2 linked regions of the Oryzias latipes genome follow. The protein of the gene in region 1 interacts with the protein of each later gene in a pairwise test. Links are inferred from orthologs where the notes say so. Each region holds a gene or a part of one and is shown on either strand. Other genes may lie near its edges. The genes, in order: mkrn2 and rack1.

The links.
Region 2: the proteins of mkrn2 (region 1) and rack1 interact in binary tests that used the Homo sapiens proteins (3 or more experiments, as listed by UniProt). The two-hybrid records come from large-scale screens. The link is inferred for Oryzias latipes from reciprocal best matches to the Homo sapiens genes MKRN2 and RACK1.

Annotation. Positions count from the first base shown.
Region 1 is NC_019863.2:19,256,538-19,271,868, reverse strand, and holds mkrn2 (probable E3 ubiquitin-protein ligase makorin-2), read left to right. Parts: upstream 1-6,937; 5' UTR 6,938-7,034; coding exon 7,035-7,060; intron 7,061-8,467; coding exon 8,468-8,596; intron 8,597-8,697; coding exon 8,698-8,810; intron 8,811-8,901; coding exon 8,902-9,027; intron 9,028-9,108; coding exon 9,109-9,287; intron 9,288-9,369; coding exon 9,370-9,435; intron 9,436-9,505; coding exon 9,506-9,654; intron 9,655-11,427; coding exon 11,428-11,538; intron 11,539-11,607; coding exon 11,608-11,752; intron 11,753-11,829; coding exon 11,830-11,997; 3' UTR 11,998-13,765; downstream 13,766-15,331. Other genes in the region: tsen2 (tRNA-splicing endonuclease subunit Sen2), read right to left, coding at 24-63, 155-221, 788-958; mkrn2os (MKRN2 opposite strand protein), read right to left, coding at 2,846-3,068, 3,138-3,306, 3,442-3,491, 4,970-5,172; protein FAM107B, read left to right, coding at 15,299-15,322. UniProt on the Homo sapiens protein: E3 ubiquitin ligase catalyzing the covalent attachment of ubiquitin moieties onto substrate proteins.
Region 2 is NC_019868.2:17,067,587-17,082,612, reverse strand, and holds rack1 (receptor of activated protein C kinase 1), read right to left. Parts: upstream 9,197-15,026; 5' UTR 9,080-9,196; coding exon 8,971-9,079; intron 8,604-8,970; coding exon 8,432-8,603; intron 7,707-8,431; coding exon 7,559-7,706; intron 7,291-7,558; coding exon 7,195-7,290; intron 6,986-7,194; coding exon 6,875-6,985; intron 6,628-6,874; coding exon 6,487-6,627; intron 6,283-6,486; coding exon 6,172-6,282; intron 5,957-6,171; coding exon 5,891-5,956; 3' UTR 5,846-5,890; downstream 1-5,845. Other genes in the region: heterogeneous nuclear ribonucleoprotein A/B, read right to left, coding at 921-1,135; nme5 (nucleoside diphosphate kinase homolog 5), read right to left, coding at 2,388-2,447, 2,537-2,655, 2,850-2,950, 3,857-4,062, 4,827-4,955; collagen alpha-1(XXIII) chain, read right to left, coding at 15,025-15,026. UniProt on the Homo sapiens protein: Scaffolding protein involved in the recruitment, assembly and/or regulation of a variety of signaling molecules. Interacts with a wide variety of proteins and plays a role in many cellular processes.

The sequences.
Region 1 (15,331 bases):
AGACAGAACAAGATGCTGCTAACCTGGCCTGAGAGACAACGGGAAGGTACAAATCTTCGAAATCTGTAAGACAAACAAACCAGCTGACTGCACAGAGCTGTGTGGGTTAGACCAGATCAATGATGATCTCATGCAGGTGCAGGTGTAGACTCACCCTCCCATTTTTCTGAAATGCTGTGATCTGGTCTGGCTCTGGACAAGATGCCTTTTCCAAAATAACCCTGAAAAATCAAACCTAGTTAGATAAAACTGAAGTAAATCTCCTTAGTTTTTACTTGGTTCTTTCCATCACTGCTAGTCCTTGTAGTCAGAGGCATAGAGCAGCAATAGTGTCACCATAGGACCAAGGTGGGAAAGAAGACAATAATGAAAACACAAACTGACATGTTTCTTCCCGTTTTAAGAGCTTTCCATCCAGGAAACTAAAGGGTTTACATTCAGTTTGATTTGATCAGTTTTGATTTATTGATCATTATCATTTGGCATGATGATGAAGTCCTCTCGTTGATTATTTATTATGGTAAAAGAAAGACGGGATGCAATAGATTGTTTTCATCAGAGAAATACAAAATTTACGCCCAGCTTTAACAGTTATCTGAGTCCAGCACATTTAACTGTTGCTGCAGATGCACCTATAATGTATCAGTGCGACGGCATTAAACGAACAAAAATAGTATTCATGTAATTAAGGCATTCTAAACTAAATCCTATAATCTACACTGGATCTTTTCAGTAACATTTTGCAGGATTGCTTTGCTGTCAGTGAGTCGGAACTGGCAACCCTGACCTGGTTGTGTATCTTCCTGACATGGTCGGGGTGGCAGACAAGCACGTGCTGGTTGATGAGCTCAGCCCGGTACACGCACTTCTCCCCGGCACTACGGATGACCGGCAGCGGAGCCTCCAGTTCTTCGTAAACACGCGCGCGCCGCCGGGGAGCGCGGAAGTCGGCCTGCATTGCTGTGGACCCGTTACTAAACGGCTGACCTCTTTGTGGGATTCTGACCTGGAAATTTGTGTACTGTTTTCTGAACCAGAATAAATGTGGGTTTTGCCGTGCACGTGGGTCCTCTCTAATCAAACTGGTCCTTTCGAATTTTTTTCTCTGTAGTTACTCATACTTTTACAAAATTGCTCAAGAGAGCCACCTATTGGCATGGAGGTAAACTACAATCCACCTTTAAAGCGACATACAAACAGTCCATGATTCCCTAAAGTTTGCTTGTCTACAATAATGACTATGAATGAAATTGAAAGGAAACTATACAGGTTTCCTAGTTGGTTTTATTTAGTTTTTACCACAAACTAATTTAAAAACAACAATAAATGCTCCACTGAACATGGGATAAGTGTAATACATCACACCAAACTGAAACAAAAATATTCATTTCCAGAATTTGTCAAAAATGTAAAATTATTACTAGTTCCATCCTCTATGTTACACATTAATAAACCAGCAGAGGTCAGACAATTTTGCACATCCTTCAAGAAAATTTTACTGTGCCTTAATAAATGCCTCATGAAATCTTTTAAATCAGCCATGTGTTTGCTTGAACTTGTATTTTGTCATTTCTGCTCATGTTTGTGTATACATGTCTTTATCTCCTGTGTTGTTTTGTCAGACATAAAAATGAGCAGAAAAATCCTGCTCATTTTCAATAAACCGAAAGGTGAACAACAATACAAGATAAATGTTTAAATATTGTGCAAAATAAAATTAAAAAAACAAGAAAAAACAAAACAAAACAAAAGGCAAAATGATCTTTAGCAACAATAAAACCACTCTGAGGAATCCCTCCACACTTACTGTATCTGCACAGTTCTGATACATGTTTGTTTTGTTATTGCTTCATTGAACGAATAAATAAAACAGACATCCATCAACATTTAGTTTTAAACACCAATAAAAAAGAAACATGTTGGAGAAAAAAAAAAAATCCCAATTATGTTTACGACTTTATGTTTTATGTCGGGGTGTCGTCTCTGCAGATGGAGACAAACTGGGTGAAAATCTTCTGGTTTAAGAAGTGCGTTTTAAAAGAATAAAGTTTATGTACTGAATGGTTTATGAGCCAGTTTTGATTTGTTCTGATCCGTACTGCTGCTGGAAAGCAATATATCATTCAGAACTTGTGTCAGTGTGACCGCTAAGGGTGTATTCAGATTCAAATCCTTTGTTCTTGTTGGGAAAACAGTATAAGAAGCAATGTGTGTCACGTTGAAAAGTGTTTTAATGAGCCTGCATACATCCAACCAAATTTCAATGAGTGCTGTGTCTCATTGTTCTGGTTTCATGGCATAGTTTTAAAGTAAATTCTGTTAAGGAATTACAAGGTATTTTTTATGGTGACGTTACAGCACCGCCGGGTGCATGCCGCGTAACCACACAGAAAAGCATGTAAGACGCATTTTCAGCTGAGTTAAAACAAACGTAACAAGTAAACAGTTGGACTCTTTTTTTCCCTCTTTGATAACATGACAATCATTGCTTCACATTTCTTCGCAGCTCATCGGTTCCTTCATTCCTACTCTGTTTACGTCAGCTATGGGGGCTGTTTTGGTTCAGTTGTTCCGCTCAGAGGACGGATTGTATTCAGACTGAGGAATCCCAGAGCAAACCAAAGCTTGGTCCGATTGGAAATGAACCAAGACCCCCTCCAAAGATGGGTCAGAGAGCGGTGTCTGGTCCTGGACCAGGGTCCACCTGGGTGTATTCAGACTGAAAATTTGTTCCGGATTATCCAGGAATGAAATCTGGTTCACTTAAAACAAACCAAATGTGTCCAGTCTGAATTCACCCTTAGTCTAGTGGGTCTGTTTTCATTGGGTCAAAGGTCAGGCCACTTTAGCTACTGGGTTCTGCTGCCTGCGGTCGGTCCACCATGTAGAACTGGTGTTTCTCGATGTGTTGGACCAGTGTGGTATATTTTGACACCCTCTTCATCCTTGGCAAGATGAAGCAGCGAGTGAAATCCTCTTTGCTCAGGGAGCTGCAACCCTCCACTGTCAGGACGGTATTTAGAAACTGCAGGCAGAAGCTGAAGCAGTTGTGGTCGTCTTCATGGAATCTGGAAGACAAAGGTGGGTAGGGGCTTTGACTGGCATCACCTGTGTTGACTGTGTCACCTGTGAGTTACCTGTGCCACACAGGGTCCCACATGGGTCCCTCTGAGAAGCGCTCCAAGTACTGATCCCACTGAGCCAACAGGTGGAACATGTCTGGTCGGACCAAAGGGATGTTGATGCAGCGCTCCCAGCCTCTCTGTTCTTTCTGCACCCCATTCTGGGTGTAGTTGTACACCACTCCTGCACACAGGTACCCAAAGGTGAGCTGCAGGCATGAGGGACAGCTTCCAAAACAATTTAACTGTGCTCTTGTCTTCACAGCAGCCAGCAGAATTCCAGAGAAGAGAAGTTGGACTCCCCAAAAACAAGTTTTACCTTTTGTATTGGAGATCCCAGTGTGCAGATCTGAAGTCCCATTGAAGTCGCTATATAACACACAGTAGGATGAACTGGTTATATACATGTGTCAGATTGGTTCTGTTAGATGGGGCTGTATGTTTTTCCAGTCTTGTCCTCACCATTTCTGTGGTTTCCGCAGTGGGGATGTAGATCAGAAGGGCTGACACATCATAGCAGACCACGGTGTCATCTGTGTTACTTGATACCAACTTGATATAATGCACCTTGCTAACAAAGCTCTGGATGCTGGGGTGTAAGGTGTTGTCCAGCAATGAAGTTGAAAGGATTGTGAGGTGTTTGGTGATGTTGTAGGTGGGTTACAGTACACACATTTATTTTTGCCCATTTGATAGATGAAATCCAGTTAGTAAACCAAGTGCAAGAAGCTTTTGTTTCAAAACTTGCTGCCTTTTTTACACATACAAACATTTAAAGAAAGTAACCCCTAAACAGACTCAATGAAAACAGGTGTGTTGAAACAAATACTGAAAAGGATAATGGGGAAATGGGTTAGCCTACAACAGGGGAATGGAGAGGGTTCTTTTCTTATAAACAGTATGTTTGTGTGTATGACATGGTTTTCGAATCGGCTGCATGATTTGTGTCTTTTTTGTTGAAAAATATTGTATATAAACCCCCCCCCCACACAAAATATAGCATCTATTTAAAAGGAGATTTAAACTCCTTTTTCACAGTGAGAGTTAAGGAAACACAGCCACACGTACAAGTGGTTCTTCACAACTCCAACCTTGTCTTCAAATCTTTAAAAAGAAACAAAAAACCTTGTATCCTCCCTTGTGCTCATACAGCATTGGTAAATGTTAGTGTTGGTCTTTACCAGTTGAGCTCTGACTCACGGACAGTCACCTTAGTAAGGTCTGCCTTTTTAATCTTAAGCAGGTGTGCAGGTGACATCTGAACCTCCGGTGGCTCAGGTTGCACCTTGGCATGTCTTAGAATCTGCTAAAGCAAAATACTTGCAACCAGTTTCACTTCTTCCGCTCCTATCCCTCCTATCGAATGATGTTTAAAGGCTAGTTTCCGAGCAGGTCTCTGATTTCTGATCTTGATCCAGATCGTTCTGGTTTCTGCATTGAGACGCCAACGTCTTCACTTACCTGAGTTCTCTGCACAGTCTGACACAATAAACCACATCCTTTACTCGCTGACATGGATATTCAAGTCTAAAAAACGGAGCTTATCTGAGCCAAGCATCACTGAACTTCATTTTATAGAGTCAATGGGGATACTGGTTCCCCAAGGCTGAATTTTGGGACATTGTGTCTATTAACACACAATCCTTTTCCTAAGGTTTAGTCATCAACTCTTGTTGTTTTTTTTGTTTTATATTATCACAGATGATGACTACTGGACCTAGGAAGTGGCCTGTCTTTATTTGTCTTCCACACCAATCCCACATGTTTCTGTCTAAACTGCTTCTGAATGACCCTCTGGGTAAACACATCAGTTCTCTGTATGCTTCTTTATTCATGATCGCTCTTACCTGGTGTGGTTGTCATGTGCAGGTGCAATCAGGAGGCAGCAGGAGCTCTTGTGGCCATTGGTAAAGGGGGAGGGCAGGCTGACCGGTGCCTCCTGCAGTCTGCTCCCCCTCAGCTCATCACCGCAGCTCGGGCACTGTTCCGGAACAGAGAAGCAGAAGATGTCCTTCTGGCAGTGACTCAGTCGGATCACACTGGGCTCCATCTCCTCTCCTTTTTCTTCTCGACTCAACTGCTTCTGTCAGACTCATCTACCCTCAGCTCTTTTTGCCCCCACCCTTGACTCCCAATTCTTTCTTCCTTACTTGGCTCCTCCCCCTCACACAGTTGCTTGGTCACAGCCTTTCATACGATAGCTTTGTACCTGGCTCCAGCCAATCAGGTGCCAAACTACTATAAAACGGTCATGTGATCTGCCCCACCTGTGTCTGTTTACCTCTGAACATTGACCTTTGGAATGTGTGCCTATTGTTGTCATGGAAACCAACAGTGTTGGTCTGGAGGAAAGTGTCTGACAAAATAGGATGTCAACTGAGAAAACAAATGAAACTAATACAAAAAAATCTGAAAAGTCTGAACTAGGTTTTAAAATGTGTACGTTTACATTAAAACTTTCTTTTTGTTTTTATCTGTGGAGGAGCTACATCTCCTAATGGTGCAGAGTCATGATTAAAGATTGAATTATTAAAACAATTTTCAGGTAAATTTTAAAATGAAAACCTGTATGAGTAGTAGAACAGAGATGTGACTGGTCAGTGGACACTTTTTCCATCTCACAAGAGATCTGATCTGACAGCTCAGGTGAGTCTGAGACAGACTTTCTTTTGTGGACAAATGTCACAGAATCTCCCCAGGAAGGTTTCAGGAAGGTAGTTTATGCTGAAACCAAAATGACCAATTTTACTGAATTTGTTATTTATTTATTTTTTTAACACTGGAACTTGCTTATAAAAAAAGAGAGAAGAAAAATAATATAATAGCAGCACCATCCTCATCTTCTATGTTTGAACCAGAAATAGGCTATGTTTGAAAAATATTTCTGAAGGAATAGTCAAGACATATTAAACGTTTTTTTTTATGGATGAAAGATGTCATAAAAAATTAACTTGAAAAAGAAGAAACAGTTTTTATTCAAAACTATGCTTCAAATTAGACCCTTACCATCTTGTCCCACAGCTAAAATGTAAGTATGATGGAGTCAGTGTCCTTGTCAGAGCACACATTGTTTAATCTCACCAGATAATAAACATATAAGACTTTGATGAAAGTAGTATGCAATCGGGTTGCATTTAGTTGTTTTATTTTTGCTATCACAGAAAAAAGCTTCCCTGTGCAACCCCATTCCTAATGTCACAAGAAACACAGTTGGTATGGAAATAATCAAGCACACATGCAAAAACTTCTGCAACAAAGTGATCTCTGTCTGTCAAAAAGGATTTCCTGTTTTTCCCACAAGATCATAAAGGCAGCATTTGTTCCTCAAATAGGACTTAAATAGCAAGATAGCAGGAAAAATGAAGATGAAAAAAAAAGAGAAATTATTCAGTTTAGTCATTATCTGTTAAAAATACTATAGTCCCGTGAGCAAAAGTTGTTTAACTAAACACAGATATCCATTAAATTTCAAATGCAACATATGCTACACATGGATCATTTTTAGCTAAACAGAGCATCTATTTGGCCACAAAACTCCTCTCTCTTCTTGTCATTATTCTGGTCAGCAAGAAACATCAGAAACAATAAAATAGGACAGGGCATAATAAGCAGTAATAGACAAAAAGTGTTTTTCTGACTCCAAATGCCACTGATCTCACGGAAATTGACAAGATAAGAAAAAAGGTTTTGTTGAGCATATTTTGGTCTTCTTTATTGTCCATCGTATTTTTTGTCTCTCTGAATGACTCTGTCACACGATGACATCATTTTCATGGTCAGGTCGTCCACATGGGGTGCTGATGCTCCATGGCAGCCGGAACTGACCTTCGTTGTCTGCTGCTCCCTATCGGAGTGTTTAGAAGGGAACACCAAACACAACTCCGACTGCAAAGTCTGAAGACCGCGAGGAAGATGAGCACCAGACAGGTGACATGTAGGTAAGTGTGCGGTTCTCTGCCCGTCTGTCGGTCACTCGTCCGTTCGGCTTGCTGTCCGGACCTGACTCAGGGTACTGCGCACGCGCTTTCTTCTTCGTGCTAATGTTTTTAGCTGTTAGCTCCGAGGTTCGAACTAGTTTGGACTCACCTGGTTGGTTGACCTGATAAAAATCAGAGGAGCGCCACAGCTCAAGTGGGAGGACACTTCACGAATCTATTGGTGATGATGATGCCAGTTTTTGTGTGGTTTTAGGGTGAGGCTCACGCGTTACCATAGCAACGGTCAGCAGGTGAGGCGCTGCCTTCTGGATGTTCAAATGTATACATCAATGGTCCATTATTATTTATGACTACAGGGAATGAATCCCCCAATATTTAACGAAAGTCCAAAAATATTTAGGTAAACTCAAGGAAGAAATGAGTTTACCAGACTGAAAAAGTGAAAATCCTGTTACATTTTATAAATAACATGTTTCTGATTTGTGAAAACGGAAAAAAGTGTAATTTCATTGCTCACAGTATCATTCCTATGAGACAAAGCGAGACACATTTTAATCTGTAACCACATTTTTTGTAAACTCTTAAACTTTACATAGAATTGATTTTCAATAGAACCTTATTTGTTGTTGGTCACCTTTTGGCATATCCCCCCAGGGGTCGCCACAGTGAATCAGCCTTCGCTGAATCAAACAGGTGTTTTGGCCGACTTTTTACGCTGGAAGCCCTTCCTGACGCAGCTTACCCTGCCTGACATAGCTTTTAATTGCAAAAAAATCATCCCCACAGGTGTAAAATAGAAATATATTTATCTTTTATGGAGACGATTATTGCAAACAAACAATATGAATGTTTACTTTTAATATATGGCACAAAATAAACACTCTTAAAACAACACTGGAAAAAAAAAAACTCATGCCGGTTGATCCTGAAAGTAATCATAGTTGCTTTCACAGAGCAAAAGACAAAGCAAAACATTAATTGGGTGAATAAGCAATAATATAAAGACAGTGAGAAAGACAAGGATACATCTGATTTTTAGCTAAATACAGTATACTTTCAAGAATAAAAAGACAAACTGCTTGGTTTGATCTGATCGCTTTTTTCAGAAACTCAAATTGTTCTGACAGATGTATAGAGAAAAGCAGATGTTATTTGCATGTGTTTACATGCGACCAAGCGCAAAAAATGATGGAAGATGCACATGCATTGCCTGCACGTATTATTAGTGCGTCGTAGGCTAAATGCTGTTGTTGGTTGCACGTATTAACCTGACCCTAATCGTAAAACTTCTTGAGAGAGCAAAAGAATAGAGGATCAAAAAGATGGAGAAGAAGACGATTCATCGCTATGGTTACTTGCTGCTAAACTAAACATGTCAGCAGGGTTCATTGTTGTTTTTTGTTGCAGATATTTTATCCATGGTGTATGCAGAGAGGGCAGCAGGTGTCTGTTTTCTCATGACTTAACCAACAGTAAACCCTCCACCATCTGCAAGTTCTACCAGAGAGGAGTTTGTGCCTATGGGGAGCGCTGCAGGTGAGACCGCACCCACCTGTTTCTTCTAAAAAGTTTTGTTCAGCCGGCAAGCCAAAGATCGTCTTCGGGACACAAGCACAATTTGTGTGTTTTATTTTTAGGTATGATCACATCAAACCTTCATCCAGAGGGGGGAGTACTTCAGAGGAGACCCCCAGTGGAAGCAGAGCTGGCCGAGGAGAAGGGAGGAGGGCGCTTGTCTTGAGGGACAGAGGTGGGGTGCCAGCTGCTTTGCCCTAAAACACGAACAGATGAACTCAGGGTGCAGACATCTTCCTCACCTCAAATGCCACCTCTTCCTGCAGCTCTGGGTCCTGATGGTGCGTTTGGAGGCTCAGCAGACGGTCTAGATTTCTTGGCAGCAGCGGCAGCTCCACAGTCTTACGTGGATGCTATCAGAACTGGGCTTGACACCTCCACACAGGATCAAGGTGAGGCACAAACACACTCATTTGTTTGGCTGGTGGTTTTGTGCAATGCCATCAGTAACAGATTTTTTCCTGTGTTTTTAGCGTCTCAGCCGACAATGGCTAATGCTTTGCGAGAGTTCGCCCCTCTGTGCCCATATGCCGCAAATGGACATTGCTTTTATGAAGATACTTGTACATATCTCCATGGCGACCAGTGTGATGTGTGTGGACTGCAGGCGCTACATCCCTATGACCCTGAGCAGAGGAGAGCACACGAGAAGGTGTGCATGTTAGTTTTTGTTTTTCTTCATCCTGTCTGACTGTCTGTTTTGAAACTGCTTCATTTTTTGTTCCTGTCTGCAGACATGTCTCCTTGCATTTGAGGCTGACATGGAAAAAGCCTTTGCAGCTCAGCTTAGCCAGGACAAGGTGGGTGCACTCAGTCCCAGAAATGGTTTCTGTGATGGTGGCAGCCCTGACCCTCGCTGTTTTTATCCAGGTGTGCTCGATCTGCATGGAGGTGGTGGTACAGAAGGCGAATCCGTCAGACCGGAGGTTCGGCATCTTGTCCTCCTGCTGTCACGTCTTCTGCCTGGGTTGCATCCGACAGTGGCGCTGCACCAGAAGCTTCTGTAACAAGATCATAAAGTGAGAATGGCATGCAGGTTTCAGGAAAGGGTCTGGGGTCGTCTGTTATGATTCTGATTCACAGTAAAACCGAGAAAATATATTCTACTTTACAATGTACAGTATTTATTTGTGAAACCTATAGATCCAAATCATTTCAAAGTAGATTCAGTTAAATTTTGTTTTATAAATGATAGTCCACAATTGTTTTAACAATTTGATTAAAAAAAGTCAAACTTGTTTCATTATAACAAAATAAAATTGCTTTTAAATTTTAATTTTGACCTGAACAGTATATGATTGTAAAATCATGATTATATGAATCTAAACTGAACTGGAAAGAAAATTGAGAATAACATTCAGCCCGCTATTCTACCAAGGTTCTAAAGAATTCTAATCAAATATTTAGTGTCTTTATTATTGAAAATGTTTCACCTTTTAACAAAAAAAATCTCATGTTTATGTCTATAGTTTTTAGGGGCACATTCACACTGGCAGGTGATTCGCACCAGGCTTCATTTCATCCCATGTTCCTCTTGGTTTAGCAGATTTAAAAGCTCCCCCAAACTTTAGTGTGACTCAAACAGGTAAACCCTTTTTCTCTTTAGAAAAAAAGACCCTAGTTTGCCCGAGTGTGAATGATCCACTGACAAAAAACAAACATGAGCCAAAGTTAGGAGTTGTCAGAAGTGCTGACAAATTAAAAAAAAAATCATAACAGCTTAAATATTGAGAAAATGCAGAAATCATGAGTACGTTAGACAACTTCTGCTCTGTAAGTAGGGTGTAGCTAGGAGATACAGGTATGAATTAATACATTATTGTTTGGGGGCTATCCAGTTTTCTTATTTTTGCTTCCTTTAATTTCCAGTTTGATTACTGACCTCAAACGAGCAGCTCTTGGAACTGCAGATTTTTTTCATGCATTTAGTCTGCTTCTCTCTTAATTTTTCTTTACCAAGTGTGCCATGTGAATGTAAACTAAGTTAAATTGGTTGAAACTTTATTGCATTACCTGCACATCTGAACCAAGGTGAGAGGGTATATCCTTGTGTGAAAGAAACACACTTTTTAAAGTTTGAAGTTCAAAAAAATCTAAAATAATGAAAAAACCCTGAGAACATTTATGTTAGCATGCTAAGTCCACCAGGCGCTACACCAGCTACAGCTACAACGACGAAGTCTGTTGTGCCATCTTCAGAAGCAGATACATTAGTTCAAGTTGACTTTGATGAGAAGCCCACTCATTGGACTTACTAGTTGTCATGTTGTCATGATTGTGTCTGTTTGAATCTTTTACGTTTAGCTGGTACTAGACTGGTAGCATGGTCCTAGATCTGAGGCTGGAGTTCAGGAGGCGATTTGATTAGTTGGGTCTTACAACTTTTCAACTTTGACAGAAGTATGGTTGCCCAGTCTTAGTTATTTACAACTACCACCTTGCTTGTTACCCACTTCTTCCTGCTTCACTCACTGCTAAATACTCTTTTCGAATGTGTTTGATCAGTCATAACTTGGAAGTATCAACACAAGTGTATCCTACAGTTTCAACCAGCTGACATACTGTAGCTACATCTTCAAACATGGCCCATCATCAGGTTTCTGTTGCATCAGTGGTTTGATGTGATCTTGACCTATTCTGATGGGTTCTGGGTCTCATTCAAGTTGTCGATCTAAGTAAAGTCTTGGTTCTAAATAATCACTCATAGCTTCATCAGCCTTTCAGAACTGCAGGGTGTATTGAAGTCTTGAGAGGTTTGCATGTTTTGACCATTGCTTCACTCTGCACATTAGATCTTGTCCAGAATGTCGGGTGGTCTCAGAGTTTGTAATTCCTTCGGTGTACTGGGTGGAAGACCAAGACGAGAAGGATCACCTAATAGAGCTCTTCAAGTCCGGTGTCAGGTAAGCTTCTTGCCTGTGCCACGCTCACTTCATGTAAGCCATTGATCTTTGATGACTGTGTCTTTGCAGCAAAAAGGCCTGTAAGTACTTTGATCAGGGCCGCGGCTCGTGTCCCTTTGGGGGAAAGTGCTTGTATCTTCACGCCTTCCCAGACGGAACCCGAGCAGAACCGGATCGGCCTCGGAAACAGCTGAGCTCTGAAGGGAACATCCGGGTAACAAGCTGCTCCTGTGTGCTCTTAGCTTCTGGGGTTTGTAGTCTATTAATGTAGCTTTGGTTCCTTGTGTTTAGTTCATGAATAACGTCCGCCTTTGGGATTTCATCGAAGAGCGCGAACAGCATTCAGGCCCACCTTTGCCCCCCATGGATGATGACATCGCTGAGCTGCAAGAGCTTTTCATGCAGATGTCAGGGCCAGGCCAGGAGGGACCAGACCCTCCAGCCCCGTCACACCAGTAAAGGCTGCCTTTCCTTGTCACCATGGAAACCTGTGGCACATCAGGACTAATGCTTTAAAAAATTAGGCTGTGTGAGCTTGTTTATGACATAAAATGTTTTATGTATTGTACTTACAAGTTAACACAGAATCATTGTGCCGTGGGACTTTGGTGTGAAATTTATACATTTATTCCCATGCCTGAGTGAAAGCTGTACCTGCAACAAGTGCAGTGAGCACAACCATGCTGTAGCCACCTGTTTATGAATTTATCCTTCAGACTGCATTGATGTTCACTTGAGTAGCTCCTTACTGCCCCTTGTGGCTCTAGAAGAAACATTAGCAGCTGTTCCACCATCTGGCCACATAGGATAGTGATGAATCTGAATGTGAATATCTGAAAAGATTGAGATATACCTGAACAACAATACATTATCATAAACTGGCTTTCTATTGGCACCAGCCATTTGCTGGGTCAAGGCAAAAACCACTCCATACCTGTTTGGTCAACAGGAGCTGTAAACTGGAACCAGAAGGTAGTTTATGTTTGGTAGGAGAGGGGCACCTTTTTTCATGCACAATTTTAGTTGAAAATTAGATTATTTTAGCTTCACAAACCTCCAGCATATCCTGAAGTCTTTAAACTATATTTTGATATTTGATCTGATGAGAAGAACCAGAACCATGTGGGCAGGTTTTCATGTCAGAAATATTAACTTCTGGACAGAGATTTGGAATGATTCTAGAATGTGGTGGGACATCTCAAATTCAGGGTCAGATTCCCAGTTTCTTCATTGCATTGTTACCGTTGCAGTTAGCATCTTTTCTCCTCCCTTTGTCAGATTCGATTTGTTTTTCTCTGATTGCACCAGACAAACGCATCATGCTCCCTGACATGAGATCTACTGTTTATTGTCAATTATGTTTTAGGACATGAAGCTAAAGAACCTTTTAGAGGATAATAAAAGAAAAAAATCATCAGTTATAGAACATTTTAAGAACCATGTTGATTTATTTGTGGTTCACCATCTGTACTTTCAAGCTTATTTACCCACAATTTAATGGTGTATTTTTAAATATAGCTCCTGTTTGAACAACCTGACTGCCGAAACTGTAAAAAGAAATGGAATGTACCTTTTCACCGTCACTGTTCATCTTCCTTGTGCTCATTCTGCAAAGTCTGCAGCAATAAAAGTTTTTCAGAGTCCTTAAAATGGACTTAGGAGGAAAAAAAAGGGAATTTAAAATGTGGGACATGTACTATTCAGGTTCTCCTAAACATGGGGATAAAACAAATCTGTAAATGCAGGTCAGCTATAGAGTTACACCCCAGTCTGGAGAATTTTAAATGTATGTAACATGATGGAAAGAAAAACAAATTAAATGCCTCAACGGTTCAAAAACTCTCACAATAATCCCAGGAATAAAAATTATTAGTAATAAATATACCAAAAAAAGAAAAAAGAACGAACTATTTAGCCTATATAAACTGTATAGAAAAACCAGTTCTCTGTTCTTTTGCTGCTTGCTGGGGGTGTGTTCCAACATTTGCACGTTGCCTTCGCAGATCTTTACCCAATCAGGTGCTCCAGACAATTAAGGAAAAATCGACCAAGAGAAATAGACAGACAGCCTCCCACTCCTACAGAAAATAATAAATAAACGGAGACAGAAAATGCCATCAAGAAAAAAGAATGGACTCATATATAGTCATTGACTGGTTTGTTTGACAACCCTCCATTTATTGTTTCATGATTGACCTCAATCAAATAAAACCTTCATGCCAACCTGTTTAGTTTTTGAAGTTTGAAAAGTTCATTTCGGAGTTCAGTTGTTCTCAAGCAATTGAGAAGAATCAAAGTAAGCAGCTGACAATGACATTAACATGTCACCCACCGCTACAACAAATGAACACAAACTGTCATTTGGAAATAACACGACATCACACAACCTTTATTTCCACCCATTTATAACAAGATTTTCCTTTAACTTCCCTCCACATGCAGACCATCCATCCATCCATCCATCCATCCATCCATCCATCCATCCATCCATCCATCCATCCATCCATCCATCCATCCATCCATCCATCCATCCATCCATCCATCCATCCATCCATCTTCTAAACTCACTTTATCTCTTTAAAATGCCACTGAGGTTTGTGAAGGAGGATTGTGTTTTACTGACGGGATGCTTTTGAGACTTTGCTATAAAGCAAACATAAACTTAGCAATTAAACAGGATTGTTCTTTGTTTACTGCCTTTTGGAAAGTAGCAGGAGAATAACTTTTAACTCTGATGTTTTCTACCTTTTATGTTTTTAAGAAGCTTAACATAAAGACTTCATGTTTTGTCAGCATGAAGATTTTGAGTTTATCTTCTCTAGTAGAGGTCAGGGACAGTATGTTGAGGTGGACTAATTTGCTGCTCTCACAGAGTTCCTTTGTTGATCTCCAGTGGTATTGTGAATGGGTTTATGGATGCTAACAGGTGTCTGGTGCACCTCAATCCTGGCATCGGACACATCCCTTTTGTTGTCACGAGTGAATAAATCGAACATCTGTTTTTTCATGGGAGACCATTTCTCAGTGTGGAAGAAGAGAACCAAATCCGATTCAAGGATTGTGTCTTAAGGAGAAAGTCAATTTTTCTGGCATAGAGATTTTTGGCAGATAGGATCTCAAGTTTTATAAATTGATACTTTTGTTAAAACCTGGGCTATGAATAATGTGCTCTGTGAGGGAAATATATTTAAAGTTGAACTTTTTATTTGGATTCATTAAATTGTTCTAGACTGTGTCATTTTTGTTATTGGTTACTGGGAATTAATCACTTGTTATCAAAAGATGTTTGAAGTTGAAACCTTTTCTTTGCTTTTTCATCCTTTGGCATTCTCTCTCTGCTCTCCGGATACGTGTCACCTTCAGTCAGATTAATCCCTTCAGATCAACTTAACTCTTCGCTGTTGAGAGCTGAGAGTCAGGCTGGAACAGGTGGCAGAGACGCCTCCTCCTCCTCCTCCTTTTCCTTTTCCTCCTCACAGTTGGACTCCCGGACTGTGTCAGGTCGCACCGGCTGCTCTGTTTTTTGTTTAGCTGGTGTGGAGCTGGCCTGGCTGCTGGGGTTGCTCAGACTGTGCGCTGAATTAAAAAGAAATCCCAGAAAGTGGACCGTCAAGCTTCAGGAGGGGGACAAGGGGGAAGAGCAGAAGAAAGGGGACACCTCTGCTGATCTTGAAGTCTTGAACAGGAAATTAGGACAGGAAGGTTGCTAGACTGTGAACCTGCTGCCACAAACAAACCAGGGAGGCCCAGCAAAGGCAGAATGGGAGCTTCTTATGGAAAGAAGGTCAGTGCT
Region 2 (15,026 bases), on another chromosome or scaffold:
GGCTGTGTCCGAATTCCCACCCTAATCATGAACTATTCAAAAACTATATAGTGTGGGACTATGTAGTGCCCTGGATTTTAGAAGCAATTCAGACAACATGCCCACTATTTTTCCTTAACCAGAGAATATGACGTAATTGAATTCAACAAGTGAAAATCGTTTTGCAACGACCATTTATGAATCCACTGAGTTATGAAGATGAGAAAGTTGATGGTTTATTAAAAAAAAGCACATTTAAATACATTTTTAATTGCAAAAATTGTACAGACAATGCAGTGTGGTCTATATTCGCCAATCTAGTGAGCATCAATGCACACTGGTTTTTTGCAGACTTCTGGGAAATCTTTAGGGCACAATTTTGGATTTGCAGATTCAGACAGCAGTACAAAATGGCGAACACGCTATAAAGTGAGTAGTGAAAGAATTCTGACATAGTTGACACCTTATCACACACGACCCCCGCTATAAGAAGGGTGAACTATGACCTTGATACTGACTATCCGAGCTAAATAATAAAAGATTTTAATAATAAAAAAAAAAGTTATACTATTCTCTGTCAAATAACTCCTTGGTGTTGAAACCTCCTAATGGATCCAATGTACCTGTTCCTGCATAAACACCAGCAGTGTACATGCTGTTCCAGAGGTCTGTTGACCCAGTCACGTGGAGGTGGGAGGTGGAACTGCTATACTCTAAAGAACCGCATGATTCAATACTATTACAGTCTGGCCAACATGAAATTTGCACATTTGAAACCCATATTCGTCTGATTAAGTTTCAGGTGAAGCGCCCATCCCCCACTCAGATCCATACATGGCGCCAACAAAAGGCCGGCGGAACAAAGAAGCACTGCCAGCCACCTAGCTTGTCAAGCGATGCCTGCTGGGAGAACTTTGTTCTTGTGCATGTTTCCCACTCACCCCGCATCTTCTTCGCCTTTGCTCGCGTCGATCTGGCCTCCTTCGTTGCCGCCGTTCTGCGAGCTCCCATCCTCGGCGTCCCCGCTTTGGTCGCACTGGTTCTCGGCGCCGCCGTCTTCCCCCTCGCCGACTAGGCCGGCTCCATTAAAATCATCGTCGAGCTCGTGCCCGTTTTCCGACGTCTCCATGTACTGCTGCTCCGCTTCTTCAGACATTTTTCGTACTATGACACCTACACCCGAGGAAACGATAGAAACATGCCTGTTAATGTCGGCGTCTGTCGTGATTCTGTTCGCCATTACCCCATTACGAATTCACGCTTTTCCCACCATTTTGACCAGCAGATTGGCATTTCATACATTCCAGTTTAAACCGGGTTTATAGCACCAAAAACTCATCTTTTTTACAACATCATCATGGCGGCGACTATCGCCAATCAAGAGTTGTTCTGCCGGGCGTAGAGATTAGCGACGTTGTAGCCATCTCACATCGATAAACCCGGACTGTGCAAATTAAATTCGCAGTTACGTAAGTCAGAGGCCACGCAGCCCTGAAAATTATTAAAATCATGAAATATCGTTCTTCTGTAATCAATATAATGAGAACCGTTTAAAACACAAACAAAGAATGCAGGTAAAATTGCGATTGCGTCGAGTTATGATGAAAAAAAAAATTATAACAGTCTACTTACAAGCCTAGCAGCCGGAGAGCTCTCTTCAAAATGGATTCTCCCACGCGACGAGAAACTCATGGTTGGTTTTCTGGAACCGGCAGGGGGAAAAAATTGACATTTTTCCAAAGAAGCTTTCTGATTGGACAAGGCCGACTGTCAATCACAAATCAACCTATCACACCAGAGTTAATCTCTCTCCTCTATTTTTTTAACACCACTCGTTTCCGCCCCGCAGACGAGGGGAAGGAGTTTAAAAAAAGAAGTGCGGCGTTCACTGATATCAGTTAAATGAATGATCATTACAACGCCCATGTATCCCCTTTCTTTAATTTTATCTTAATCTTTTTTATTTAAGTTTGTATTTTTCTGTATTATTGTTTTTTTTTTACTTAACTTTATTAAGGTTGTTTACATTTTTCTATGCCTGTTGTAATTGTAATTTGATGAACACTTTATACGACGGCGACAATGTTGTAAACATCAAGTGTTTTTTCTACTTAAAAAATGACGCTTCCGTAGCGAGATTAACGATCGAAAATCTTCCGTTTTCACAAGTTTCGACGCAACTCAAATGCAGCACATTCATCTAGTCAATTCTTAAAAAATATAAAAGCTTTCAGTATGTTAGAAAAAACACTCGAATACAATTTAGAACAAAACTTAGTTGATAATGTCACAAAACAAACTTAATGCACAAACACAGCTGAAAGTTGTGTGTTTATTCATAGAAAGTGGTACATAAATTGAATACATCTGGAACTTCCTGAGTCTTTTATTTTGATATCATCCAAGAGTTAGAAATATGTTTGAGGCTGATTCGGATTGTTTTGCAGCAGCCAGTCAGCAAGCCAAATCTGTAAATAAAAACAAATAAATAAATAATTAAATAACAGGAAAATGCTACTAATCAATAAAAAGAAAAATCTGCATAGAGTAAACTAACAACAGGATTGAGGGGCTTTTCTTTACAAAGCTCTGTGAGTCCACGAAGCAAAACCGGCTTCAGACACCTGCTCAGGTATTCCTTGGTTTCATGCTTTGAAGGGGAAGGCTCAATGAAAGCTACAGAGAGAAACAGGAAACATCTATTAAGTCATATAAAATTATACATTAAATACGAAGAGAATGGTGACAATTGGTAGAAAAGAAATTCAGTCTAGTTGTGAGTGAAGGATTAAAACAAGTTTACATGTTTTTGTATTTGTTGTAGTAGCCCTATAGACAACAAAATGTGTAAAAAAGAAACAACAGCTTACAGTTTGGGAACATGAATTTAATCTCCCTCACAGCTTCTTGAAAGGACTCACTGCCGTGAAGAGCATTTTTCAGGTCAGAAGTTCCATATTTCGCTCTAAGACTGGAGAAAATCAGCCATATCATCAGACTAAAGATCTAGATCAGGGGTCTGCAACCTTTTAAGCTACAAGAGTCACTTGGTCTAATTTTCTACTGAGAAAAACACAGTAGAAGCCGCAAAGTCCCACTTCACAAGTTTGGAAAAATTCCTTATTCATGCTTTTGTGGCCATTCATTCACAACATGGAGCTTTATAGCATCGACAATAACTGAATTAAAGTGAAAAATATATATGACATAGTTTTAATCAATTGTTTAATCACATCTATTTTACTTTTAAGAACTGCACAACAATTTCATTTTCAAAATAAAATACAAACATCTGCTAAAGCAGATTTAAAGTTAGCAGATTTACAGAATTAAAAGGGCTAATAAAATTGCAAATCAAACATGGCATGTTTTACAAATATGTCTTTGGTGCACAGTCTTGCTTTTTTACCTTTTACAATACTATCAAATATATTAATGACATCATTATTTCTAGATCCATACATGTAAACACAATTATTTACTTTGAATACTTTGCTTCTGAACAGCAACTAGACACTGTGGTACAGCAGAAGATTGGAAAATGTGCTTTATCTGCATCAGTATGGGCATCTGAGATAAAAATCTAAGCATAACTGACAACTTAACGAGAGAAAAAAAAGAACCAAAACCACAAAAGCATGATATATTACAATCGTATGCTTTTTTTCTTGAAAGCCAAAGAGCCACAATTGAGGGATAATAGAGCTGCATGTAGCTCTGGAACCTCAGGTTGCAGACCTCTGATCCAGATATTCTTCATTGACATGTCATAGTAAAATTTATTCTATTATGAATGTAATGAAATGAAAAATCTACACTGATAAATACAAATGTACTCCTCTGTTACGGTATAAACACAAATAAACATGAAACAGACCACTCTGGCTGACTTTCTTTGGCGTTTGTGATGCTGGCAGGACCAATGATGGACTTCCAGCGTGTGACAGCATCCTCACAAGCCAGCACCATGGCAACGATCGGGCCGGAGCTCATGTAAGCCATCAAGCTCGGAAAGAAAGGTTTTCCGCTGCAGTCTGAGTAGAAGTCACTGCACTGCTCTTGACTCAGCTGCAGCCTTCGCTTCTAACAGGATTGGAGAACGGACAGCAGAACCATGGCAGGAGAGATGACTATTTAAACTTGACAGAAAGGTTTTTTTCAAACACGTATGTCCTCATGATTTTCAAACATCCTACATGAATTAACAGCTAGAGTAGGCTGTTCAAAACTGACGTTTACCTGCAGTTATAATGAAACCACTAACCTTTTTTTGCTCTGAAAGCTAGAAGATCTTGTAGGTTAATACATTACTGTTCCTTCACGTGACTGAGAAATTTTATTTGTACCATCCTTAAAAAAAACTTCTTGTCTTCTGCATCTCTAACCCTTGTGCCATCCTACATTTCATGGACACCAGTGAAGATTGCAAATCATTGAAGAAAAAAGGTTCAGCGCACTGTATTGTGGGGTCTAGATGACCCAACTCCCAATGTTTAAGAGCCTAGGATAGCACAAGGGCTAATTGTGTCAGAAATGACTTTAGCTCGCTCACCGAATTGTTTGGATTAGCGCCCTCAAGTGGCCAAATGATCTCACTGCTCATTTGGCCACTGTGTGTGAGTTCTTGTTACATTTTGGAAAAATAAACAGTTTCTACACAGCATTTTATTTATACTTCTAGCAACAACAAAAAAAACCTTTATTTTTATTGTTAATAAACTTCACATGGCAGTAGACATGTGTCCACTGCGTTAATTAAACGTTGGTCACACAGAAAACTACTCCTTCTAAACGTAAATAGTCTCAGTTCTCAGACGTGTAGGTTTGCGCATCAGTGATTTACTAACCTGCAGGATTGTGAGGCCCGACTGAAGGATGAAACCTTCGATCTTCTCGGCTTTTTCATAGATATCTGGCTTTATGATCGCCAGTGTTCGTTCTACACGAATTTGATCGCCTAAATGCGTAAGTTCCATCTCTGTCTCACGCAAAGTAAAACTGATTTTTATAGGAACGACAAGAAGTCCTCCTCGTCCCACCAATTCAATACCCCTGCGCTGTTTTGGTTGCTACGCTACCATTTCACAAGTACGGGAGCTGAGGAGGGACAAACTTCTTTTATTTCCTACTTGCCACGTGAGAAGCCTTTAAGAATGAAAACTAAGGGTGTAATGATAGATTTTAGCAATAATTCGATATTTATGGTTGCTGATTCATATCGATTCAGTTTGAATGATCCGATTCACTGACCTAAAATGGATCCAGGAGATCTTTAGCCAAAACTTCAGTGTGACTCGGATAAATACCTGGTACCTTGTATTTCCTACAAGATAAGTTTAAATTGTGTACAAAAAAACTAGTAAACAAGAATTAATGTCAAATCCATTCACATTTTAGTTTCATAAAGTTGAGCCCACTGTTTTTCCACATCAACCTAATCCAAAGAGAACATTCTACCACACTGGATGGTCACATCTTTGCAAAATTAAGTATTTCTGCACATTGGAGTGGAATGATCAGTTTTTGCTGCAACCCATGCTTCAATCCAAAAGGCAGTTTCCAGTATTGATTAATTTCATTTCTAAACGATTTTATAATGGTCTGGGGTGTTTTGATTAACTTGCCACATGCATCAATCTGGATGGATCATAGGAATATAAATCAATTCAAATGTTTCACTCCTACAATTAACTTTATTCATGATTCAATGTAGACCTCAACATTTCAAACTTAAATTTGTTAACTAGCTTTTTAAATGATCTTGCATCAATATTATAAGTAAAACTTTGATTATGAGCAGTCTTCTAAAATGACAAACTCAATCTGCGTGAAAGTAAAATATTTAAAGTTAAGACCAACACACAACTTTTCAAACAGTCTTTTTATTTAAAGTCGATGCAGCGATGGATTCTTATCGGGTTCCAATGGTGACCTGCCACACTCTGATCAGGTTATCGGTGTAACCAGCAAACAGGGTCTGCAAGCAAATGAAGGATGGAAGTTACTGATCACAAAAACCATTAAATACATTGATTATAGCCTTGATTTTTGTCCTTTCCCCTCATATTTGCAGGACTGTCAGCAGTCAAAATCAGAGCTAATAGTGAATGGGTATAATCACTGGGGGTTAGAAGGACAGACTAGCTTTAGCAACAGCCCCATCTTGTACTTATGTCAAGAGGAGCTGAATACCTGTCCATCAGCAGACCATGCCAGAGAGGTGCACTGTGGGGGCTCGGCTTTGCTGTTTGTGCTGATCACTTCCTGTCTCAGCTCATCCACAATGATTTTCCCTTCCAGATCCTGCACACAGAATAAACATTTACCGTATGACTAAAACAACTCAAAATAACAGGCAATGTACAGAAATGACTGAAGCTAATTAGTCTGGAGCTCAGAAACAGCCTCTGTTATCATCAAGCAATACAGTTAGCATTTTCAAGTTTCATCAAGGCCCATCAAACCACATTCAGCAGTAGTTCCACATCATCACGTAGGAGCTCTCACCCAGATCTTGATGCTAGGGCCAGTGGCGGCACAAAGCCAGTAGCGGTTGGGGCTGAAGCAAAGGGCATTGATGACATCGCCGCTGTCCAGGGTGTACAGGTGCTTGCCCTCGTTCAGATCCCAAAGCATAGCCTGGCCGTCCTGATTGAGAGAACATTAACAAGAAAATAAGCCATGACCACACAGCAGCTCTGTTCTGGATCTTCATTTAGCGTGGCTTTACGACTCAGTGTCACTCAGAAACAGCCTCTTTTGTCATCAATTGTTTACCAACAGAATGATGTGTTATTTATCCATCACAGTTGACACCTGGAGGTCGGCCTTTGTGTGCCATCACTAAAAATCTTCACAAGTATACGAGTCGAGTTCTCCAACTGAACCAGCTTACCTTTCCACCGGATGCACACAAGGAGCCGTCAGGAGATACGGTCACCGTGTTCAGGTAGCCAGTGTGGCCGATGTGGTTAGTCTTCAGCTTGCAGTTCGCCAGGTTCCACACCTATAGAAACAGCAGCAGACAGTGACCGTCAAGTTTACACTGACATGAAAAGACCAGATAAAACTGTGGAGACGTGCTCTCATCCACAAAGCTTCTCATCAGAAACCAGGTCAGGTAATACATGCAAACTTCTTTAAAATCATGGAGCATATTTTTCTATTGTTTTTAAATCAATCTAATGGCAAATGAAGGGAAGCGGAAGTACAAACCTTGACCATCTTGTCCCAGCCGCAGGAGACAATAATGGGGTTGCTGCTGTTTGGAGAAAAGCGAACACAAGACACCCACTCAGTATGGCCTTCATCCTGCAAAATCAAACACATACGGTTTTACAGGAATCTATTTGATTACAGGTCAATGCTTATGTGATTTTTTAAAATAAATTTACAAAATTTACAAGCACGAGATTATCAGTAAAGCCTTTCTTTTTGAAGGTTAGCGACTTAATTTGCTTAACTTCATGATCTGACCGTCATGTCAACTCTTCACAGGAGTTCAAAGTCAATAAAATCCTGCAGCACGGATAAGGACGTCATAAGATCTACAAAGAGGCAGCATTATCCGGCAGCTCACCTGAATGGTGTACTTGCAAACGCCGAGAGTGTTCCACAGCTTGATGGTCTTGTCCCGAGAGCCAGACACGATCTGGCGGTTATCAGCAGAGAAGGCCACGCTCAAAACATCCTTGGTGTGTCCAACAAATTGGCGGGTGGTGAGCCCTCTGAAAAATGGCACATTTACCTATTAGCAAGAGGCTTTCAATAAAAAAAAAAAAAAACATGAAGAGGACGCCTGTCATCACACCACAGCTAAGAAATACACTCCACAACAGACGGACCAAGAAAGGAACATCAATAAAGGTTTGCCTTTAGAAAGCTGTGAAACTATCAAATGTAAACAAAAAAAGGTAAAGGCTAGAGACAATAGTACATTAAAACAAGTCAGTTCAATCCCATAAAATATAAACAGGATAGATCTCCATCAAAATGACTAAACATACAAGTTGAGAGAATTTGGCATTTAAAGATGATGTGAGGTGGAATGAATTAAAAACAATGAATTTAGGTTGACTGGACGTTTCATGACTTGTGAGGCTCCTAGAAACAACTAAAGCTGTAAACTGGTGCTTAAAAAACTGAAATGACTGGACTGGATGCAGGTAAACCTCATTTTAAAAAGAAACATGCTAAATTGATTTCCAAATCTCTCAATAGCAAAACAACAAAACTAATCTGAAATCTAAGGTATTTATATGCATCATGGAATGTAATCAGTAAATGTACTCGTCTTCTTTTGATAGTCTTTAGTACATATGTGTTAGGCATCTTTTCAAAATACATCCCATTTTCTCCACAAATGAATGGCTGGCTGGCAGCTGCTTCACATAAATGATTAAAATCATGCTGCCACCAACCACTAAAGAGATGCTTCCTGCCCTTCACTTACGTGGTGAGGTCCCACAGGCGGAGGGTTCCATCCCAGGCTCCTGACAGGGCAAACTGTCCATCAGAGGAAATCACAACATCACTTACAAAGTGAGAGTGGCCCTTCAGGGAGCGCTGGGGGATGCCATAGTTGGTCTCATCACGGGTCAGTTTCCACATGATGATAGATTTGTCTGAAAGCAAGAGATACTTTAGATAAACACATTCAAACCACTTTTATATTTATTCAGATACATTTTTTTTTTCAAAATAAAATGTGCATCAATAAGAAAAGTGCTTCAGTTACAACTAAGTTTTTTTGAGGTAGCAGCTGCCACATATTATGCTATGTCACAGGAAGCTAGCTTACCTCTTTGCTAACATGTCTACAAATGTTCATTTTGCATCACTTTATATACGGTAAAAACCTCCGTAGTTGTTTATTAAATCTAGCTGGTTTCATTTACTCACGCAACAAATTCAAAGTTACAGCATTTTGAACGCAAGCAGCTGAGAGCTAACGTTAGCCATGTTGGCGGTGCCGGCGGGGCGAAGCCTCACCTCGGGACGCCGACAGAATCATGTCGGGGTATTGAGGTGTAGTGGCGATCTGTGTGACCCATCCACTATGCCCCTTCAGGGTCCCCCTTACTGTCATCTGCTCAGTCATTTTGGGGAGGTTCGGTGGTGCCTTTTACAAGGATGGATTCGGATTTTAGACAGGTTCAGCCGAACCTAGCTCCTCATCGCATCTAGGCACAGAGGAAAAGGAAATACGACCCCGGATGCAGAAACTATGAAAGGTCGCGCAAAGGATTCTGGGACGGGTGGACTTGACTACACCGCAGTAGTCTGCTTTACGCCATTGATGTATGCACCTCTTAGCTTGTTTTTCAATTAAAAGTTCTCTTAAAGAAAGGGGAAAAAAATCCCAATAGTTATCTTTATTACGTACGGAAGAAGATTAGGACCACGGAGAAAGGGAAATTCTCACTTTATCTCAGAATTCAAACCTTTTCTATCTCAATAATGTCAGATTTCTGACTTTATTCAGAATTCTAAATTATCCAGTCAGAGTTCTAGACTTTTTTTTACGACTTCTGGCTTTTTTCTTCGGATTCTAACCCCCTCCCCCCATTTTAACCTAATTAATTAATCTAATTGGTCTAATTTAAACTTTTTTTACTCTGTGCTGTTTAAAATAATCTCAGATTTCTGACTCTTTTTTTACTTCGATTGTCATTGTGTTGTCAGAGCAAAGTGTTTGGACAGCCACAGCCACATCCACTTATGGCAGCAAAGGAGTGGCAACGTAAAAAGCATTTCAAGATGAACTTTTGTTTCTGATCAAATACCGTACTCTTTTTCTGTGCCCGTTTAACCCTTGTGCTATCCTATGACCCCCACCCTTACATTGACGTGTTATTCCTACCATGAAAAAAGTGGATAAAGGTGGAAAGATTTCATGTAATCCATGGACACCAGTGAAGATCACAAATCATTGAAGAAAAAAGGTTCAGTGAACTGTGGGTCTAGATGACCCAACTCCCAACGTTAAAGTGCCTAGGATAGCACAAGGGTTATACAAACACATTTTTAAAAATCATACAATGTGATCAGCTAGATTTTTTTAACATGTTGTCGTCTTTCAAAGTTGAATAGTATCTATGATGAACATTACTGACCTGTCATTTTAAAAGTGCGACATCTTGAAGAATCAGTGACTGCCAAATGCTTTTTTTGTTACTGTGCTGTACTTCCATTCATTATATTACAGATTGTTTTTTTTATTCGAAAATAATCAATTTTGCATTACTGCGATGTTACTTTATTTTGATCATGCAGAAGCAGAGGAGACAAATATACGACAAAGAATTCTATATTTGAATGAGGTGTAAGGCAGTTTGTATGATGATCCATCTTTTTGGAATTGTTTTTTTAATTCAAGCACACAAAACAAAAGAAAGCAGAAACAAAAGAAGCCAAATAGCTAGGATCTGTTCGTGATGCCAGAATTTTTAGGGAGTCATAATTGTGCCCCAAATTTCACCAGGGTATAATTTACCTTCATTTTTTATACAATGTCATGCATTTAATGTTATGTAAATTATACACTTTAACTGCCATTATAGGACATTTCAGTGGTTACTTGCTGGGGGACAGGGGGTATCCTTGTCTGCCATATCTGATGACCCCCTACCCTGATCCTCAGACTCGACAACAGGCACAGTTCAACCTGACCCACAGCAGAACACGGGTCAGGGTGGAGATGACTATAGGCATCCTGAAGGCAAGATGGCAGTGCCTATGTAGGCTCAGGGTCAGCCCAGAGAGGGCATGTGACATCACAGCTGCACGTGTTGTTCTTCACTACATCCCCAGCATGATAGGTGAGAGGGCCCCGCCACCTCTTGATAAAGACGACCAAGTGAATGCTCCATTAAACCCAGCTGACCAAAGAGATGGCAGGGTGGTACGGGACATGATTTGACAAATTTATGTCAAATAACAATCAAGAGTCAAAGGCTAGTTGTTATTTCTTTATTTGCTGTAATAAAAAAGTGAATTTATTTCTTTATGCTCCATTTAACAAATAACAGATTAAATGTACACATACTGTTTTTCACCTTAAGCTGGTGCTCCAGCAATTCTATTTCAAGGCTGGTCTTTTTTAGGCATTAAGTTGTATAAGGTCCATCTAAAGGTCACATTTTCTAATTTGCCTTAGAAGATGAACTTTATACATCTCTCTGGCAGGAAACAACAGAGACAAAGTAATTCCACATAATTGGAATTAGACGTTTGCAATACAGACCAAATATTAACATGAGAAAATTGTAGCTGCAGAAATGTTCTTACACTGCCAAGAGTCATGGTGGAGGTACACTGACCCTCATCTGCATTTACATCCCCATCAATATTCTGTAAAATTTCAATGACAATATTTATCTCATTTAATAAATAAGAAAGAGGGGGGCATCATATACCTCTATGGGTCTCGCTTTGTCAATTTCTGTTACAGCAGAAGTGGTCTCTTCATTTTCATCCTGCGGTGTAAATATGTAAAGATGCTTGATCCACCAAACAGAAAACTAAAGATCCAAAGACAATAATCACTTACAAGTATGATAAAGTGTGGTGATGCAGGAGAGTCCAGTACTACAAATACACCATCAGCATCTTCAATACAATAAAACCAATAACATACTCTGTGTAGATTTTCAAACAAATACCTAATAAAGGAAAATCTGTACAAATAGACATGTTTAAGCTTATATCTACAATAAATAACACACTGAATCCATTCAATATGAAGTCTGTCCAAAAAGTTTAATTTCTTCAAAGGGAGAGGAAGTGAGTTGATGTAATCCCACTTGTTTATGTTTTTAATTGAACTTTTTACCCATAACTACAATCTGGTTCTTAACTTCTATTAAGAGTTCCTTTTCTTTTACCTGTCCAAGTCATCAATATTCATAATTTTGTTGTGTTCAGGCTCACAACACCGAGCATATTCCAGCTCTCAGGTAATGGACAACATCTTAGACATTTTTTGAATCATATTTACAGAAAGGAGCAATAAAACTCTCACCTTTTTGGCTCCTGGAGTCCAACACTTGTTTAGAATCTGATGGTGTTCTGCACAGACTTGACTTCACATTTCACATGATTTATTGATGTGAAATGATTGCAGTTATGCAGTCTGCAGAAATCCATTAGTTAGAACTGACATTGCCAACAGTGTATTCATGACTCTACATTGACACTTGTCACTGATTAACATTTAAGCAGCATTTTGCAAGTGAAATCAGTGACAGACAGCATGTCTTTTTTGACGCAGGGTTCACAAAGTATACGATTTTTTTATTTAATACAATTGAAATCCTTTTATTTATTAGTTGCAGGATTTTCTCAGCTTTGTTTGTACTCATTTTAGGTGAGATCAAAACCTTTATTTCTACTCATTCAAAGGTCTTAAAGTTTGGAGTTATTTTTCTGGTGCAGAACCTTTAAACCCCAAAGAGATTGTAAAAGATTTTTTTTTGTGTAGAAGTTTTTGATTGAGAAGAATTAACAATTCCATCACTGTTGAAAACTTCCCGTAAAAGGTGAAGCAACCTCAAATCATTATTCTTCTACCACCATGTTTGAGTGTTGCTTCAATGGTTTTTTTGGGACAAGATGTGATTGGAATCTGTCTTATGAGTCCATTAATTACTCGTAGAATGTAATGGAGATGATTCGGTGTGGTAATTTATTACCCATTATTATCAGTACCAGCTTCGTTTCCAGAAGGGTCTGGATGTTGCTGCTTATCCCAGCTACCTTAGGGCAAATGCAGGGTACATGTCGGACAGATCATGAGCGGGAAAAAATATTTTATATCCTTTTGCTACACCAAAAAGTAATAAATTACTGTAATACATTACTTATGCAAAATGTTACTATCAACACCATGGAGAGAATTTTAATTAAAAATGGATAAAACAATTTTAAACAAAGAGATCACAAGAAAGCATAAACGTAGAGCGTTTATTTCTGTTTACAACTTTGATTCACCAGATTTCATGTTACTTAATTACAAAAATAGCTTTAATCTTCAATTTACAACCTCAAACGTTCCCACCCTCCACTCCAAAAAAAAAAATCCCCCAATAAAAATCAAAACACATTCTAACAAAATCAAGCTAACTCTGTGCTATAAGATTTTCTAAATATCAAACTATAACTTGTCATGAGCTCACTTTATGAAGCAATTAAAAGGAAGGCACTGATAGAATCTGTAACAGTAATAAAACACTGTAATGTTGTGTCACAGCTAACCGCCAGCTCCCACTGAAGTAATGCCAACACTTGTTGAACCTCTTAGTCATGAGATGCATACCTCATTCAGCAAAAATACTTCATGGTTCTTAACAAATGCTTATCTTGGTTTAAAGACTGCAGCTTATGTTAAACATGCAACGTCATCAGAGAAAAACTGACATAAACTGTCGTTTATGGAATATTTCATTCCATAAACGACATACATGAAATGGATTTTAGAATTGAAAAGAGTAAAACTTTATTGATATCAAAAGGGGGAAGCTACTTTAATTATTTTATACAACAACACTGCAAGAAGCAAGTAGCAAAAATACAAAAATTGCAGCGCAACCTAAAGCTCGAGTTGTGAATCAGTGGCTACTATCATTCAATCAGTATTTTAATTTCAAATTTTCTATTGTTAAAATGTGAATTCTTTGATTGGATCCGAGCTTCAATGAAAACATATGTGCCGTCCAAGTCAAGAAGCAATCAATTGTACTGATGAGAAAAAATATCAGCTCATATCTACGAGGAATACACAAAAAATACAGTTTTTATTGCGTTGCTGTAATTGTGTGTCTGTCAGTTCTGTTTATGCATTTAAATGATTGAAAAAGTCAATGACATACACCTTTCAGCCAAAACAACGATGGATATGTTTAAGATAAACGGATGTTAAATATGAACAAACACAGTAGAACTTTTGCATGCATGTTTGGTAAAAATGTCATACGGTACTTTGGTAAGTTAGTGCTGTAATAAAATTCATGTAAAAAGGCACTACAGAAACAAACAAAACAAGTCATTTCCTTCAGTTCTGTAAAAGTATCTTCAGCTGTTGTGCATGTCTTTGAGCACCCATCTGAGTGTTTTTTATCTAAAATGACAACAGCAACAAATGCCACCCACTAGAAGAGACAAATACTGTAAGGAGCTTAAAGAATCTGCCCAAACAAAAGTAAAATGACAGAAATGTCATAGGGGGATTGTTTGATTTAAATGAACACAATCTTGCATGCATTTTTGGTTCAAACGTCAAACTTCAGCACGTTAGTCCTTCATTCCCTGGGTAAAATTCATAAGAAAATACGTTAAAAAAGCAAACGACAAACCTTTGTTTAAGCAGCAAATATTTCCGTTGCCTAAATAAACAAAAATAACCACCAAAGAACGTCCTCTGCAGGTAATACGTAATGATCGGACATCTGGTTACCAAGGCAATTCTGATTTACACAAATACTGTTCATGGTTCCTTCAATCTGGCCTTGATGTTTCAGTAAATATCAAAGAAAATGCACAGGAATGCATAAAAAATAGGAAACAGTACACAAAAAAATTAAATGTAAGGCAAATGTGAGCCATTAAATGTTTGTTAAAGACTTGTTTGTAAAGAAAGATTGCAAACTCTGTTTAAAATTTCATTTCGGGACACAGTCGATACAAGATGCTAAACACAAGTCTTGTTATGGTCATGCATTCATATATTTTACAACAGATTCACACAAGATGTCACAATCACATGTCCTTTATTCCCACATAGGTAAATCCTTCCTTATGTGCCAGGGACGTCTGTGAATCCCCCAAAAACCTGGCTGTAAAGCAACTGCGGAATATCATCAGCGTCATCTCCGTTTGTGGAGAGGCAGAGTTCTGTCGTCCCCTCCTGGAGAGACTCCATAACGGAGGATGTGAGCGTTCGTAAAATGACGCAGAGGCGTGGCAAGCCCTGCTCCCGAAAAGCCAATCTACCCTCCACGCTTTCTGCCTGTTCTGTTGCTGCCTTTCTCCACCAAGCCCCACCCCCTCTC